Coturnix japonica: one gene and its partners. The protein of the gene in region 3 purifies or fractionates together with the protein of the main gene of each other region. This does not show direct contact. Links are inferred from orthologs where the notes say so. Each region holds a gene or a part of one and is shown on either strand. Other genes may lie near its edges.

What was found.
Region 1: the proteins of IGF2BP3 (region 3) and HNRNPA2B1 purify together in Homo sapiens (affinity purification with mass spectrometry; 4 studies listed by BioGRID and IntAct, with this or other methods). This does not show direct contact. The link is inferred for Coturnix japonica from reciprocal best matches to the Homo sapiens genes IGF2BP3 and HNRNPA2B1.
Region 2: the proteins of IGF2BP3 (region 3) and TRIM25 purify together in Homo sapiens (affinity purification with western blotting; 3 studies listed by BioGRID, with this or other methods). This does not show direct contact. The link is inferred for Coturnix japonica from reciprocal best matches to the Homo sapiens genes IGF2BP3 and TRIM25.
Region 4: the proteins of IGF2BP3 (region 3) and YBX1 purify together in Homo sapiens (affinity purification with mass spectrometry; 3 studies listed by BioGRID and IntAct, with this or other methods). This does not show direct contact. The link is inferred for Coturnix japonica from reciprocal best matches to the Homo sapiens genes IGF2BP3 and YBX1.

The regions. Positions count from the first base shown.
Region 1 is NC_029517.1:29,448,080-29,451,643, forward strand, and holds part of HNRNPA2B1 (heterogeneous nuclear ribonucleoproteins A2/B1), read right to left. Parts: intron 2,532-3,564; coding exon 2,385-2,531; intron 1,334-2,384; coding exon 1,123-1,333; intron 808-1,122; coding exon 706-807; intron 626-705; coding exon 545-625; intron 1-544. UniProt on the Homo sapiens protein: Heterogeneous nuclear ribonucleoprotein (hnRNP) that associates with nascent pre-mRNAs, packaging them into hnRNP particles.
Region 2 is NC_029533.1:7,752,707-7,757,070, forward strand, and holds the start of TRIM25 (E3 ubiquitin/ISG15 ligase TRIM25), read left to right. Parts: upstream 1-1,536; 5' UTR 1,537-1,559; coding exon 1,560-2,243; exon of another isoform or gene 2,244-2,759; coding exon 2,760-2,855; exon of another isoform or gene 2,856-3,346; coding exon 3,347-3,580; exon of another isoform or gene 3,581-4,092; coding exon 4,093-4,249; exon of another isoform or gene 4,250-4,364. Other genes in the region: COIL (coilin), read left to right, coding at 99-187, 606-695.
Region 3 is NC_029517.1:28,632,078-28,636,242, reverse strand, and holds the start of IGF2BP3 (insulin-like growth factor 2 mRNA-binding protein 3), read left to right. Parts: upstream 1-1,358; 5' UTR 1,359-1,797; coding exon 1,798-1,972; intron 1,973-2,805; coding exon 2,806-2,866; intron 2,867-4,165. UniProt on the Homo sapiens protein: RNA-binding factor that may recruit target transcripts to cytoplasmic protein-RNA complexes (mRNPs). This transcript 'caging' into mRNPs allows mRNA transport and transient storage.
Region 4 is NC_029536.1:5,557,137-5,559,621, forward strand, and holds part of YBX1 (Y-box-binding protein 1), read right to left. Parts: intron 1,422-2,485; coding exon 1,388-1,421; intron 719-1,387; coding exon 629-718; intron 421-628; coding exon 118-420; intron 1-117. UniProt on the Homo sapiens protein: DNA- and RNA-binding protein involved in various processes, such as translational repression, RNA stabilization, mRNA splicing, DNA repair and transcription regulation.

The DNA of each region.
Region 1 (3,564 bases), about 820 kb from region 3:
AAAAAACATACATGCATTTCAATTCACCTGAAGCAAACTAATTTTTATCTAAACCATACGACCTTAAGATGCAAATCTCACAGACTGATAAAGTACACAAACTTGAATTTGGATAGAATGTACATGAAAAAAAAACATTGATCTATGATTCCTTTACACCACCTACTTTCCTGCATTTGTAAAGTACTGGGTTAGTTTTGAATGTAGCTAACCCGGTTTGCTTGTATGTAATTCAGATGTTCAAGAAAGAAACCCCTCACTGCAGAGCTCCTGAGCTCTGCACCTAACTACAGAGAAGCAGTAGGTGAATTTCTCACCAAAATCAATTTCAGCTCGTAACAGAATCTTTTAAATATTAAACCACTTAAGTTTTCTGAACTGCTACCTCATTGATTTGTGTACTATGCAAAAGGTTCGCAAGTTATCTTTCCCAAAAATTCTTTAGCTCTTACAGATGCATTTCAATTCAATAGTAGTAATTTACTATTACGCAGAACCTGAAGGATGATGTAAACCAACCAACCAACAAAATTGCCTGTCTTACCAGCTCCCCCTCTGAAATTGCTGCCAGGTCCTGGTCCAAAGTTGCCACCACCTCCACGGGCATCACCAAAACCGAAGTTCCCTGTAACAATGTAACATTTGTAAGCAGCAAAACCATGCAAAGCACACAAAAACAAACTGAGAGGCATTAACTGCACGTACCTCCTCTCCCACTCCGAGAATTTTGGACTTCCTGCATTTCCTGTCTAGAGAGGGCTTTCCTTACTTCTGCATTGTGGCCATTAATGGTGTGATACTTCTGCACTGTGAGCACACAGAACAAAACATGGTGAGCATTTAAGTGCTGATCTGGTGACACGAATCTTAAGCTACCAAAAATGCAGTCATTCCCTAACGGTCCCATACACACTCCCTACTGTTATCTTAAAAATTATACATACCGGAATACATTTCATTGATTATTTAAAATACCCATTCCCCACAATTCACTATAACTATCATATTACATTCACTTAAGTATTCCTATTACCTACCTATTTTAAATTTAACTTCACACACGTACCATGACTGCAAGCATCAACATTATCAAAACAAAGCAGTGAGATGAAGATTACTTACATACAATTTTATCCACAGGATCATGGTCGTCAAATGTAACAAACCCAAACCCTCTCTTTTTACCAGACTGTCTGTCAGTAATGATTTCAATAGTGTCAATTTTTCCATATTCCTCGAAGTAGTCACGAAGGTGGTGCTCCTCGGTGTCCTCTTTAATACCACCAACAAATAGTTTTTTCACAGTAACATGAGCACCAGGTTTTCCAGATTCCTATTAAAAGAATTCTCCAAATTACCTCAAAGAAAAGCAATTTAGTTCATAATTTTCTTTCAGGATTTCAAGAATGGAATACTAAGGTTTTCAAATCCTGAGGTTGACTTCTTTCAGTGCATGTCCATAAAACCTCTTTATGGGGTGGAAGGGGTAATAGATGTCCTCCCCAAACCCAGCCTGGATGGGGCCCTGGGCAGCCTGGTTTACTATTGGATATGGAGGTTGGTGGCCCTGCCTATGGCAGCAGGGTTAGAGCTTGATGATCCTTTAAGTCCCTTCCAACCCAAGCTTTTCTGTGCTTCTATGATATATAATAAAATGTATAAAAGTAAATAAAAACAAATTTAGAGACCAACTGCTTGAACAACTCCTTAATAACAAACAAAAACTCCCATGTGTTTTGAGTGTAACATTTAAGGAGCTGCACTAGGTAGGAAGGATTTATCCCTAATGCCTGGTAATAGCTCTGTGTGTATAAACAGTGTGCACATGCCCTGCTTTCTTATGTTTTCGCAAGTGCTAATCAACACTGCATTCTTCTGGAAACTGAATGAAAACTGGGACTGCTAACAAGGGTACCACTTCTAGGTGATGGAAAATGGAAATCACCATAAAACTCCTTATTCAGTTGCTTTTTATCAATCCAAAAACATTAGAAATTTGGGTCAGACCTTGTGCTTGAAGTGGTTAAACCCTCCCAGAGCTCCAACAATGCAAAGAACATGAATTAACCTGCTCAAATATGTCAGTGCTACAGTAACTCAGCTATACTGTATGACTGTATGCCCATCTAATGTATAGCTTGGATTATAAGATCAAATATGCAAGGAGCAGAAACATGACTAATCTTACGCTGATTTTGATCATCACCATTGGAAGGAAAGTACAGTTCCCAACAGTCCACGAACAGACTAAAAATGTGGAAACGGTGTCCCAAACACACCCTTTCACTGAATTTAAACAGAGACAAATTGAAGTATAAATGCATAAGCAAAACAGAGTAGTCTCTCAAAGCATGGAAAGTATCCACTCTCAGTCCTATGCTTACCTCTCTAGCCACAGCTCTCTTGGGCTCCACCACCCTTCCATCAATTGTGTGAGGTCTCGCAGCCATGGCTGCATCAACTTCGGCCATCGAGGAGAATGTCACAAAACCAAACCCCCTTGATCTTTTGCTTGCAGGATCCCGCATTACCTAAAAACGGTGAACAAATTTAAATCACTTCTACGTGTCTCATGTTAAAACTGAACAGCAACATTTGGAGAACCTAATTTAAATAGTTACATGTAAAGCAGCAAGCAATACTGACCAAATACGTAAGCAGCATCCACATGGCATCAGAGAAATTCAGAGTACTATAGTCCCCTAATACCTTACCAGTAACTCCGAAAGCACTCAGTTGCAATGATTCATGTCTATATACATGTATCTTTCTCTAAAAATCAAACATTTGTTTCTACCTCTCTGAAGACTACACTCTTTAAATGCAGGTTATGAAATACATATTTACTGTTCCTCTCTGCACTGTGAGGGGTCTGGAGCACAGGCCTTATGAGGAGCAGCTGAGGGAGCTAGGATTGTTCAGTCTGGAGAAGAGGAGGCTTAGGGGAGACCTTATAGCTCTCTATAACTTCCTGAAGGGAGGCTGTAGTGAGCTGGGGGTTGGCCTCTTCTCTCGTGTAATCAGTGATAGAACTAGAGGGAATGGTTTTAAGCTGCGCCAGGGGAGATTCAGGCTGGACATTAGGAAGTATTACTTCTCGGAAAGGGTAGTCAGGCATTGGAATGCACTGCCCAGGGAGGTGGTGGAGTCACCGACCATGGGAGTGTTCAAGAAACGTTTGGATGTTGTGTTGATGAACATGATTTAGCTGGGAAGTATTGGCAATGGTTGGACTAGAGGATCTTCTAGGTCTTTTCCAACCTTGATAACTCTGAAGTATACAAAAATCACAGGCTGCAGAAAGCCGCCCATCTCTAGCTTCAACAAAGCTGTTAACCAAAGCAGAAGCTTTCTTCCAAAGGTTACTGGTTACACAGATGCTGATGCACTTGGCTCTCCCTAATGCATTGGAAGCAGTGACACCCAAGTTAATTTTGAACAGCTGTAATCAGCAGTTAAGAAATAATCTGAGCAATTTTACAAGAAACAAGCTGTATTTATCAACAATTTATCAGCAGTGTTCTAGAGGAAATCTGCATATAGCTTTGAAGGCCTGATAAGCAT
Region 2 (4,364 bases), on a different chromosome or scaffold from region 3:
ACTGTGCTTGACCCAGCTCTATAAATACGGTAAAAATGTAAACATTTTCCTGTCTGTTTATACTAACTAAGTGGGTTTTTTTGCTGTGTTTTCAAAAGTTGCTAAAGAACCAGGGAAGTTTGATCTGGTTTATCAGTCTGCAGATGGGGCCGAGCTGATAGAATACGCTGTGCCTCAGGACACAAAGGTACGTGCCTGCCTTGTTCTGAAGGCTGCCGCGTGGTTGTGCTGACACGTTTCCCTGCTTTACAATGCTGTCCTTTTATAATGGAGCGTTTCATTAAAGTAAATGAAAGCAAAAATAATCCTTTCTAACAAGAATGGGAATTATCATGAGATAATAAACTCTTGCGTATTATTTCAGTTAATTAGACTCAGAAAGTCACCACTTTGTGTAACTTTTTGGCTCCACGAACCTCCATGAGGTTCTGGTTTTCCTACCTGCACATCAGCAGGTTAAGGCTGATGAAGATCACTGAATTGGAGCAATGATCTGTGACCTTTGTTCTGTGCTGCTGCTGTTCACATCCAAACAACTTGTGATGCAGAAGAAATTGCACCTGCCTGTACACCTTGTACGCGCTAATGTTGGATTTTGCTTCCAGATAACTGAGAGTTGGGATTCGCTGATTGAGCCCAGATTGATCGTTGAGCCTCCAATGAATGGATCAGGCACTGAAAACGGAGCAGTCTGAGATGTGAACACGAGTAAATCCTTGTGTGGACTTGTTTCATGAGATGCTGCCGTCCAGTTCTGAGGGCAGCAAATGCGCTGCTGGTTATTTTCCATAAATGGTTTTAAAATAAACACTGTTTTCTTAAGAGATGGTTTTGTGTTAATCCAAGAATGCTTTGTTTGTTATAGATTTAATGTAGGTTTGATTTATTTTTTTTAATAGAATCTTAGTTTTTATATTCTACTTTTGTGAGTGGCAAAACTGGAATAGTTTGATAGAAAATATAAATGATGACCTTGTGCTGTGTTTGTGGCTCTGCTGCTGTGTCCTGTTTTGTCTAGAGCAGCGTAACTGCTATACAGAACTTGTTGTAAGGATCATTAAAATCCAGCATTGAAAGAAAAATATATTGACGTCCATGGTTCTTTACTGCAGAGCATGACATGAATGGCCAGACCTTACAGTTCTATACAGGGTTCACCTGAAAACATCAAGAAAAGTTTAAGGATTTTATGCTTCTGTAATTTAGAGAGGAGGATAAACAGTGTTGGTGACAGAACTCAGCCTAGAACCAGCACAATACAAACGAACCCAGACAAAACGGTGTCCCAGCGTGTTCAGCCGAGTGTGCTCTGAAACCTTTACAGCCGAACCCTTTTGCCCTTTCAGTGTTGAAGTGTCAGTGCTGCCTTTGCTCAGAACAACGCAAGAAAACCGCACACACGTACTTCGCCGGCTCGGTCCGCTCCAGCGCCCGCACGGATCGCAGCTCCCCGGGACACCGCAACCCGCGCTGCTTCCCCGCCTGCCCGTCCCGCCCCGTCCGCCGCCCCCGCTGGGCTCAACCCGGGGCGGACCCGCCGCGCCCCTCGAGGCGGGGAGATGGTTCGTAATTTTACGGAAATCCGCAGCCCCAGTTTCGTTTCCTCGGGGTCTGGAGGCAGCAGCGGGATAATGGCGTCGATGAGCAGAACTAAGTCGGAGCCGAACCTGTTGGAGCTGGAGGAGGAGCTGACGTGCTCCATCTGCCTCTGCATCTTCAACGTCCCCGTGACGGTGCCCTGCGGACACAACTTCTGCGCCTCCTGCCTGGAGCTCACCTGGGCCGGCCAGGTGCGGGACTTGAGCTGCCCTCAATGCCGCGCCACCTTCCCGAGCCGCCCGCAGCTCCGCAAGAACACGGTGCTGTGCCGGGTGGTGGAGCAGATGCGGGGCAGCGGGACCGGGGACGGCAAGGAGGACGATGAGAGCGAGGAGGAAGAACGGGAGGCGGCGACCCTCATCTACTGCGACAGCTGCCTGCAGGCGGCCGCCACGCAGACCTGCCTCACCTGCATGGCTTCCTTCTGCCCCGAGCACCTGCGGCCGCACCACGACAGCCCGGCGTTCCGCGACCATCGGCTGTGCCCGCCCGTGCGGGACCTGCAGCAGAGAAAGTGCCCGCAGCACAACAAGCTCTTTGAGTTCTTCTGCAGCCAGCACGGCTGCTGCATCTGCTCGCTGTGCCTGCTGAGCCACAAGCCGTGCCACACCAGCACGCTGCAGGAGGCCAAAGATAAAACCGAGGTGAGAACGGGGCAGCCCCGAGCTGAGCTCCCTGCAGACACTCCCTGGGGCGATCTGCCCAGATACCGGGATTAACTTAAGACAGCCCCTCTGACTTCGCTTAGCAGCATTCCTCAGATGCGATCCAATCATATCTGAGAACAAAAATCCTCTGTCACAACGAGGGGTGAACAGCAGTATTTACCCAGTGCCCGAAGTCCAGGCTAAGAGCTAAAGCAAAGTTTATTTGCAGCGCTGGGAGCTGCTCCGCTGATGAAAGAGTTCTCCTTATCAGCAGTGACTCAAGGACGCCCATCTTGCTTTTGGAAAGGTGTGGCTATGGGGGTGCTGACCCCACAAACTGTGTGCGTGCACGACAGCACTGCTAAAGGAGCAATGGGTTTTAAACGGGTGGTACTGAATGCTTACAGTGGTTATCAACAACTCCCTACTGTGATTCTTACTCCAGTAACCATGACCCGACTGACAGCATGGCAACGCCTTTTCTAAGCTGCTCTCTGCTCTCCTCTTTTGCAGGCTGCACTGAAGAAGAGGCTGGTGGAGCTGCACAACCAGAGTGAAAGATCCGTGCAAGCAATGAACTCTGTGAAAACAATCCAGAGTCAAGCTGCTGTAAGTTACAGCGCTGTTTGCTTGGTGTGTGCTGGCTCCTGAATGTTGTTTGTGCTCTTGTGGCAGTCCTTGTACTGAAACTGCCTTGTCAGGAAGAAATCTCACTGAGAAGGATCAGAAAAGAGCCGTTTTGGCAGCTCCCTAAGGATGGGAACAAACACAGCCTCCTTACAGGGGTGGTTCGCACCCACACGGGAGTAACTGAGATGAACCCATCCATTCCCACTGCAGCACAGATTGTGCATCTGTGCAGCCCAACCTAAAGCAGCAGTGAGTAGCAACGGCTGCACTACAGCAGAAATGTGGGAGAGCTCTTTTCCACAAGTGAGCACAGCTCAGCCCTGCTCTCACCTGATGGCCGGGGTTGGTGTGTGTGCTGAGAGCTTTTCTATTGCCAGTTGTGAGTAATTGGAGTTTACATGCCCACAGTAGCAGCGCTTTCCCCCTAACTTGGTTTGAAGCCAGTTTCTGCCTTTTTGTGTCTGCTCCAGGAGACAGCTGCCAGAAAGCGGGATCTGCTGAGAGCTGAGTTTATGGAAATTAAAGCTTTAATTGAAGAAAAAGAAAACCAGACCCTAAAAGTAGTTATGGAAGAAGAAAAAAGAGTTTGCAATAAGTTCGATTACATATATAAAATTCTGGGAAGTAAGAAGAATGAAATTCAGTCTCTGAGAGACCAGATTGAGATGGCACTGACCGAAGGGGATGACGTTCTCTTTTTAAAGGTAACGTGTCCTTTAGGTTCAAATCTGATTCTTTGGGGTTTTAGAATATAGATTCATAAAGAACTGCCCTGGTCGTCCTGCTTTCCAAATCCTTTTAGTCAAATGATAAAGCAGTCACATGCAAGAACCTCCTATAACAAGATGTACTGATAAATACACAAACACGAGTGAAAGAGCACTGGAACAAAGTGCTGTCTGCGATTCCACCTCTCCCCAGTTCTGCCACTATTTCTGCTGTGTGCAGAAAGGCCACTGAGGGAGAGAACTCGTCTCCATGAGGAGGAGTTACATCTCTGTGCTGCGAGGCAGAGCTTTCTTATTGCTCCAGGTATCAGGAAGTAACGCTTATGTGCTGCTGAGCTGCTGCTGAAATTGTGCCACGGCTTTGCCTGATTGTCACCTGTGCTCTTTTGCATTTGAGATAAATGCCCAAAACTCAGCCCATTTAAGGTCACCTGCTTGTATTTCTCACACAAGATGGTCTGCATGAGATTTTCCGTTTCTCATTTCAGAGAGCAGCAGCGCTGCAACGAACATCAATAAAAGAGGCCTTTGTCCCAGTAATAGAAATGGACCACAACATGATACACGCTGCTTATCAGTCTGCCATTAACCTTAAAGATGCTGTCAAACTTGCAGTGAATGCGTCTGTGGATAAAAGAACGGATGGTATTGTATCACTGTGGGAACCGGCGTTTTATGCCTCAGCTTTGAGCTCAAATGAGAGAGATTCCCCCTCCAATCCAAACATAAAAACTAGAGCAGAAAATAGAGCCAATCGATA
Region 3 (4,165 bases):
TGGGGGGGGATGTAAAGAGAATTATTTGCTCGTTTCCAACAAAACGGAAGTAGTGCTTAAATTCCGATGAGCGCAGCCCAGCCCGCTCGGTCAAGCCGACAATCCCTCCGGCTCCTCCAGCCGGCCCCGAGCTGCCTCGCTCGCCCATCCCGGTTCCTCGCGGATCCGCGGGCACTGCCGCACAATGGGAGCTCCGCGCTCTCGGCTGTGCTCGGCGCGGGAAGGCAGCACTGTGGCTTCGGGAGGGAGCGACCCCGACGCCCCCGGAGCCCCGCACGGAGCGAGGGGAACAAAGGAGCCGCCCCGTCGAGCGGTGCCCGAGTCGCGCCCCGCGTGGGAACGAGCACGGCGCGGGGGGAACGGCGGATCGCCGCGCTCCGGTCGTGCGGGGCCGCCGCGGGAGGGACGCGCCTCCGTCGGGCGCTCCGAGCCCCGCTGGCCGCCCGCACGGAGCGCGGCCCGGCTGTCGTTTCCGTCTCCGATCCCCGGCGTCGGGCGCATTCCCGAGCCCACCTCCCCCCCCCCAGCCCCCCGCCGTGCCCGCCCAGCCGAGTCGCAAACGGCTTTGGGGGGATGGGGCCGCGGCCCTTTGTGTGCCCCCGGCCCGGCCCCGGTGCCCCAAGCGAGGTCCCGCCGCGCCGCTCTGGTCCCCATCCTCCCCCACCGCCCTCCGCCCCCTTTGTCTTTTTTTTTTTTTTTTTCCTTCTCGTGTATTTTCCCCCCCTTTCCCCCCTCCTTCCCGTAACGCCCGCATCGCACAACCATTACCAGATGGGGCTCCGGAGGGGCTGCGCAGCCCCCCGCCCCATCGCAGCCCCCCAGCACGCAGCCGCGGCCGCTCCCCCCATCCCCCCATTCCCATCCTCATCCCCATCCTCCTTCTCTTCCTCCCCCCCGACCCTCCCGGCTCCTCGGGCTCTCCGCGCCGAGCCGCCGCTGCCCAATCCCCCGGCCCGGCCCGGCGGGGAGGAGCGGGGCGGGGGGCGGGCACTGCGGTGCCTTTTCCCCTCCCTCTTCGGGCCGCCACCCCTCTCGCTCGCTCCTTTTCGGGTGGCTGGGGCCCCCCCGGCGGAAGGGTAGAGGCGGGGGCAGGGCTTGCGCCCACCCGGCTCCGCGTTCCCCTTCCCCCGCCCTCTGCTCTCAACTTGTCCCGTCCCGCCCGGCTCCCCCCCGGCCTTCACCCCGACCCTCCTCCTCCTCCTCCTCATTCTCCTCCCCCTCCCTCCCCCCCCCTCCGGCTCAGCCGCTCGCTAATTGAAGAGCCGGGATTCCTCACGTGAGAAGTTGATTTGTAGTTTGAACACGTGGCTCATTCAAAAAGCCGGAATATTCAAGTAATTTTTTTTTTTCCTTCCCCTTCTTTGCCTCCCTCCCTCCATCCCTCCCCCTCCCCTCCTCTCTCTGTGTGTTTTTTTGCAGCGAGAGGCGGTGCCTGAGCGCACGTAGTGTGACATTTCCATAGTCCGCCCGCTGCTGCCGGAGGGGCTCGGGGGCAAAGACAAAAAGTACTTTTTTTCCCTCCCTCCCCTCCTCCTCTTCCTCTCTCAGCCCGCCATCGCGGCCCGGCGCCGGCTGTTCCCGCGGCCCCCCATGCGCCCGGGTGGCACGGCACGCACTTAGGGCTCCGTTCGCCTTCGTTTTCATTTTATTTTTCACCCCTCGAGAGAGGGAGGGAGGGCCGCGAGCCGCGGAGCCGATTATCCTCCCCGTCCTCTCTCTCTCTCTCCTTCCTCCATCGCGTTTTGTTTTCTCCCCACCTCCTCCCGCCAGCCGAGGGCTGCAGCCGCCGCCGGGAAGATGAACAAGCTCTACATCGGCAACCTCGGCGAGAACGTCAGCCCGCTCGATCTGGAAAGTCTCTTTAAGGACTCCAAGATCCCCTTCTCGGGCCAGTTCCTGGTTAAGTCCGGCTACGCCTTCGTGGACTGCCCCGACGAGAACTGGGCCATGAAAGCCATCGAGACTCTTTCGGGTGAGCGGCCCCGCTCCCACCCCCGACGGCCCCCGGTGCCCCCCTGCGCCCAGGTGAGACTCCCCCGGCTCGGCGGCGGCCCCCGGGGGGGGTGAGAGGGGGGAAGCGGAGGAGGGCCGTGCCCGCGGCCCCCTGCTTTTTCCACACCCCGGGGCCCATCGCGGGGGCGGGCGGCCCTCGGTGCTCACCCCCCCCCCCCCCCCCCCCTTCCCTCCCCTCGGCACCTCATCTGAGCCCGGCGCAGGCCGCGGGCTGCCCGCCGAAATGCCCCGAGCCGGGAGGTGGGAGCCCTGCCGCCCCCCCCTCTCCCCGTTCCACCCGGTATTTATTTCGGTTTCTTTTCGCCGCTCTCACGCACCCATCACCGCCTCCAGCAGCGCGCCGGTTCCCGGCCCCGACATCCTGTTTTTGTGCATTTAAAAAAAAAACCAAAAAACAAAAAACAAAAAAACCCACCAAAACCACGCAACAAAAAAACACAGCACCAAAAAAACCGCCACCACCAAAAAACCTAATCAAGACCATCATAATAAAAACAGCGAGTGAAGCCGCTTAGCGGAACCTCCGCGAACGGCGGCCCCGCCGCTCTCGGGCCGCTTTCCCCGCGTGCTCCCGGGCCGGGTCGGAGGCCCTCGGCCCCTCGTAGCCCTTCTCGCCCTCCACGCGGTTCTTCCTCGGGGGCAGCGGCCCCGCGGCCACGGCTTTGTTGCCGCCCCGCTCTGCCCCGCGGCCGATGAATGGGCTCTAACGTGTTGCGCTCCGCTCTGCTGCCTTGCGCTGCCGAGAGCCGCACGGCCCCTCTCCAATATTTTCCCTTCTGTTCTTCTCCGCAGGTAAAGTGGAGCTGCACGGAAAACTCATAGAAGTTGAGCATTCGGTGCCTAAAAGACAAAGGTAATTTCTCTTTTTGTCTCGTTGTTATTATTATTATTATTATTATTTCCCTCCGTGTTTCCCCAGTGAGAAGTGATCTGAAAAATGCATAGGCTTGGCTTTCTCTTCCTTATAGATAAAGGGGCAGCTTTCTTACAGCAGCAGCGTGCTCTGTGCTAGAATGGCCCCCCGTGTTTCTATGGATTTAATAAAATCAAATAAAAAGAAGAAAAAGAAAGAAAAAGAGCGAGGTCTTCCTGTGGAATGCTCAGCTTATTGCATTGCGGCTGGGGAGGGCTGCTGGTATTTTAAAGTTCCGTGGAGGAGTTAAAATGTGGTGTGTGAGCAGGAGCTGCAGTGAGGGGCTGTGGAGCGGCGAGCACATGAGCTCTAGCAGCACAACGCGTCGTGTAAATACGCTGCTGTGTACATCTCTCTGCTCCTGCCATGTTGGAGTCCGGAGCGTTTTATAGGCACGCGGTGCAGGGCTGTGGTTGACTATCTGTGTGCGAGAGGGTTTCTATCTCCTTCGAGCCGGTGTAGCAAAGCAGCAGGAGGGTGACTCCTTCCCAAGGAGGGCTAGATTAACGAGCCCTTAATTTCAAGATGCATGTTTAATTTTCTTTTTCAAGGTAGTAATTGAGTGGGCCTCGTGTGCGGAGGCGATACTCGCGATATGGCAGGGCGGTGTTTGTTCTGCTGCCTGTAGCAATTCGGCCACAAACGTTAGATTGCAGGGAACCTGGCGTGCTGCAGATAGTAGCAGCAAAAGGGCCGAAACTTTCCACGTGCTTGTTTCTGAGCTCCATTCTTCAGCCTGAGAAGTAGGTCTGGCCGCGGAATTTCGGGAGAGGGGCTTCTGCCCTTTCAGCCTTCATTTTAAAAGCACGGTGCTCTGAAAGTAGCTGGTTGGAAAAGGAGGATTTGGATGTAGTAATTGGGGGTGCTTTGGGAATTGAAGTTTAATCACTGCTGGGTGTTGGAGGAAATCTTTGCTTGGGGAAGGCGCGGAGGATTTTGGGTTTAGTGAAGGAGCATTTAAAAAAACAAAAACCCCAAATCTTTTCTGGCCCATTTCACGCTATGCTGATCGTTGTGGTTGCATTTGGTACTTCTTTTAATTGGGAATTAATGTACTATGTGCGCTCCTTCATTTGTTATGCAAGATACGTGGCTTTGGTTTGCAGCACTCTGTATTTTGGGTCTTCTGTACATAAAAAGCAATTGCTGTGGAGGGAACGTATTTTTAGATTTAAGGAGGAAGAGTCCATGGGACGCACGAGGATCACTTCCTCTCCATTTCCATAATAATTAGGCATA
Region 4 (2,485 bases), on a different chromosome or scaffold from region 3:
TGCCAACATCTGCTCAGGCATTTTATCTCACTGCTAAGCCTTACAGAGCACATCTCGAGCATCCGCAGAGCTGCGTTTTATCGCCCTGCTCCACAGGACCCACACCACATGCGTTACCTCCACTATCTCTCCCTGCACGGGAGGGTTGGAATATTGTGGTCGACGCCCGTAGGGCCTACGCATGTAGTAAGGTGGGTACCGCCGCCTGCGGTAGGGACGGCGCTGCTGGGCTTGGCCTTCCGGGATGTTCTCTGCTCCTTCGTTCTTCTCCCCACTCTCACTGTTCTGGTAGTTTTGCTGGTAGTTGCGTGGAGGACCCCTGCGACGCGGATATCGTCTGTAATGGTTACGGTCTGCTGCGTATTTGCTGCCTTGCACTGGAACGCCACCAGGCCCTGTCACATTCGCTGCCTCCGCACCCTGAGGAGCAGGGAGAGCATTAAGCAAGCAGTGAGCACCAAACCGGTGTGATTCAGCACCCAGCACCGATTTGCATCCCCATTTGTAAAGCAATGAGCAACCATTCATCTCCCTGGATGTCGTCAGGCAACTGCTCAAACCACAACACCACAGCAAAGCCCGCAGACCTGCAGTTCAATGCATGCTCCAACAGCCCAGACGCATTTACCTTCTCTCCTTCAACCACATCAAACTCCACGGTCTCTCCATCTCCTACGCTGCGGAGGTACTTCCTGGGGTTATTCTTCTTTATGGCAGTCTGACAACATAATATGGCACAGTTACATTCACAACAGGAAAACGCTACTCAGTGCATCTCAAGTTTGTGTTGGTGTTTTGGGGGGACTGAATCTATTTATTAAGACATCCTCCTGGACAAGTCATTAAGCCACAATGGGAACTCAAAGCCAGTGTGTGCTTTATTACTGCTCTGACCTACCCAGAGCACTGTGCAGCCTTACAGCTGTTCCAGGACTATCTGCCCATACGATTCCAGTCAGAGATACAAAATAGCCCCCAAACAATGCAAGCTGCATCAGAAGTTTCTCTCTAAGCACTCTGTACATTCCTATCAGGTGTATGCATTGACTAAAATAGTTATTTGGGGTTATTTCCTGTGCTGTTCAGCAGCATACTGCATTTCTGACAGCTGAGCACGTGCTCTATAAGCACCATTCTCAGCCACGTTCTACTCAGCAAACTTTTTAACAAGTTTAATGCCAGTAACAAATTAATGCCAGCAACATAACGTGGGTCCATTTGTTCCCTAAATGGAATAAAATCCATCATAAGAGATGTCACAAGTTTCAGCACGTAAGCAGTGATTTTAGGGAGACAGGAAACCCTTGTCCCCTCCAACCCATTTGGCTGAGGTCATGCACAGCGCGTATCAAAGAGGTAACACGTTTCAGTTCCCAGCCCATCTTACCTGATGGACAAACACATCTTCCTTGGTGTCATTCCTGCAAGACAGCACCAAAGAGAAATTCAGATGTGAGACAAGCTGCGTGAGGGCCCAGCTTCAAATTCAGTTGTTTAGGGGTGAGGGGAAAGCAGGGGAGCACCGGGACAAGTAGCTGTCAGCTCTGCACTGCTCAGCCTGCTCTAAGGGGAGGCTGCCTCAAAGAAAGACCTTGTTGGGGACCTGTGTGAGGTGCTGAGTGTTTTCCTCCCTCCCCACATATCCCACCAACAGGCTCGGAGGAAAAACACCTGACAGCCCATCAGTTGGGATAGCACAGTGGAAGATGTGACATCACAGGCTATGAAAAGCAGCACACACAGCCTGCGTCCCCAGCTCCATTTCCTGCAGTGATGAATGCTCTATGAGGGCAGCAGCGTGGCTAACAGACAAGCAGGGCACAGGGAGCTTCCTGCTCCACAGTTACACAGCACAGCCCCGGAGCTGTGCTCACCGCTCACAAGCTGTGAGCCCTCAGGCTCACATCACACCAGCTGAGCCTTGCTGCAGTGTCACTTCAAGTCATTCCACAGCCCAATGAATCAACTGCTGAATGCCTTTTATTTCCTAGAATACATGTTATAGGCACAGCTAGTGCTGCAGTGCTCAGAACTGGACTCATTTAAAGCCAGTCACTCCTCCCCGTGCCTTTAACACACGGCAATAACAATACTGTGAACAACTCGATCCAAGTTACAGCTGCCCCGTCACACAGTACCAGCACCACACACCCATTTCCTTATGGAACTGACGCCTGCAAGAACTACTGACCTCAGAGCTGACGGAAAACAGTTCATCCAAAGGGCTACAGAAGGTGATCAGCTCAGCCCCAGCCCCACCAGGCAGCACCCAGAAGCTCTTAAAAAGCCTAAAACTCTTACAAACACAACATGAGATCATAGATGTTCCAGCTGAGGGCCTTGAGGGAAGCCCAGCGCCTGCATTCAGTCAGTGCTCACTGTGCTCCCAACAAATGCAGAGCTCTTCAAGTGTGGATGCTCTGCACTCCTCCCAAACCCCATTCCTCCAAGCACATCAGCTGCTCCTCATTTCATTTAGAGCCCT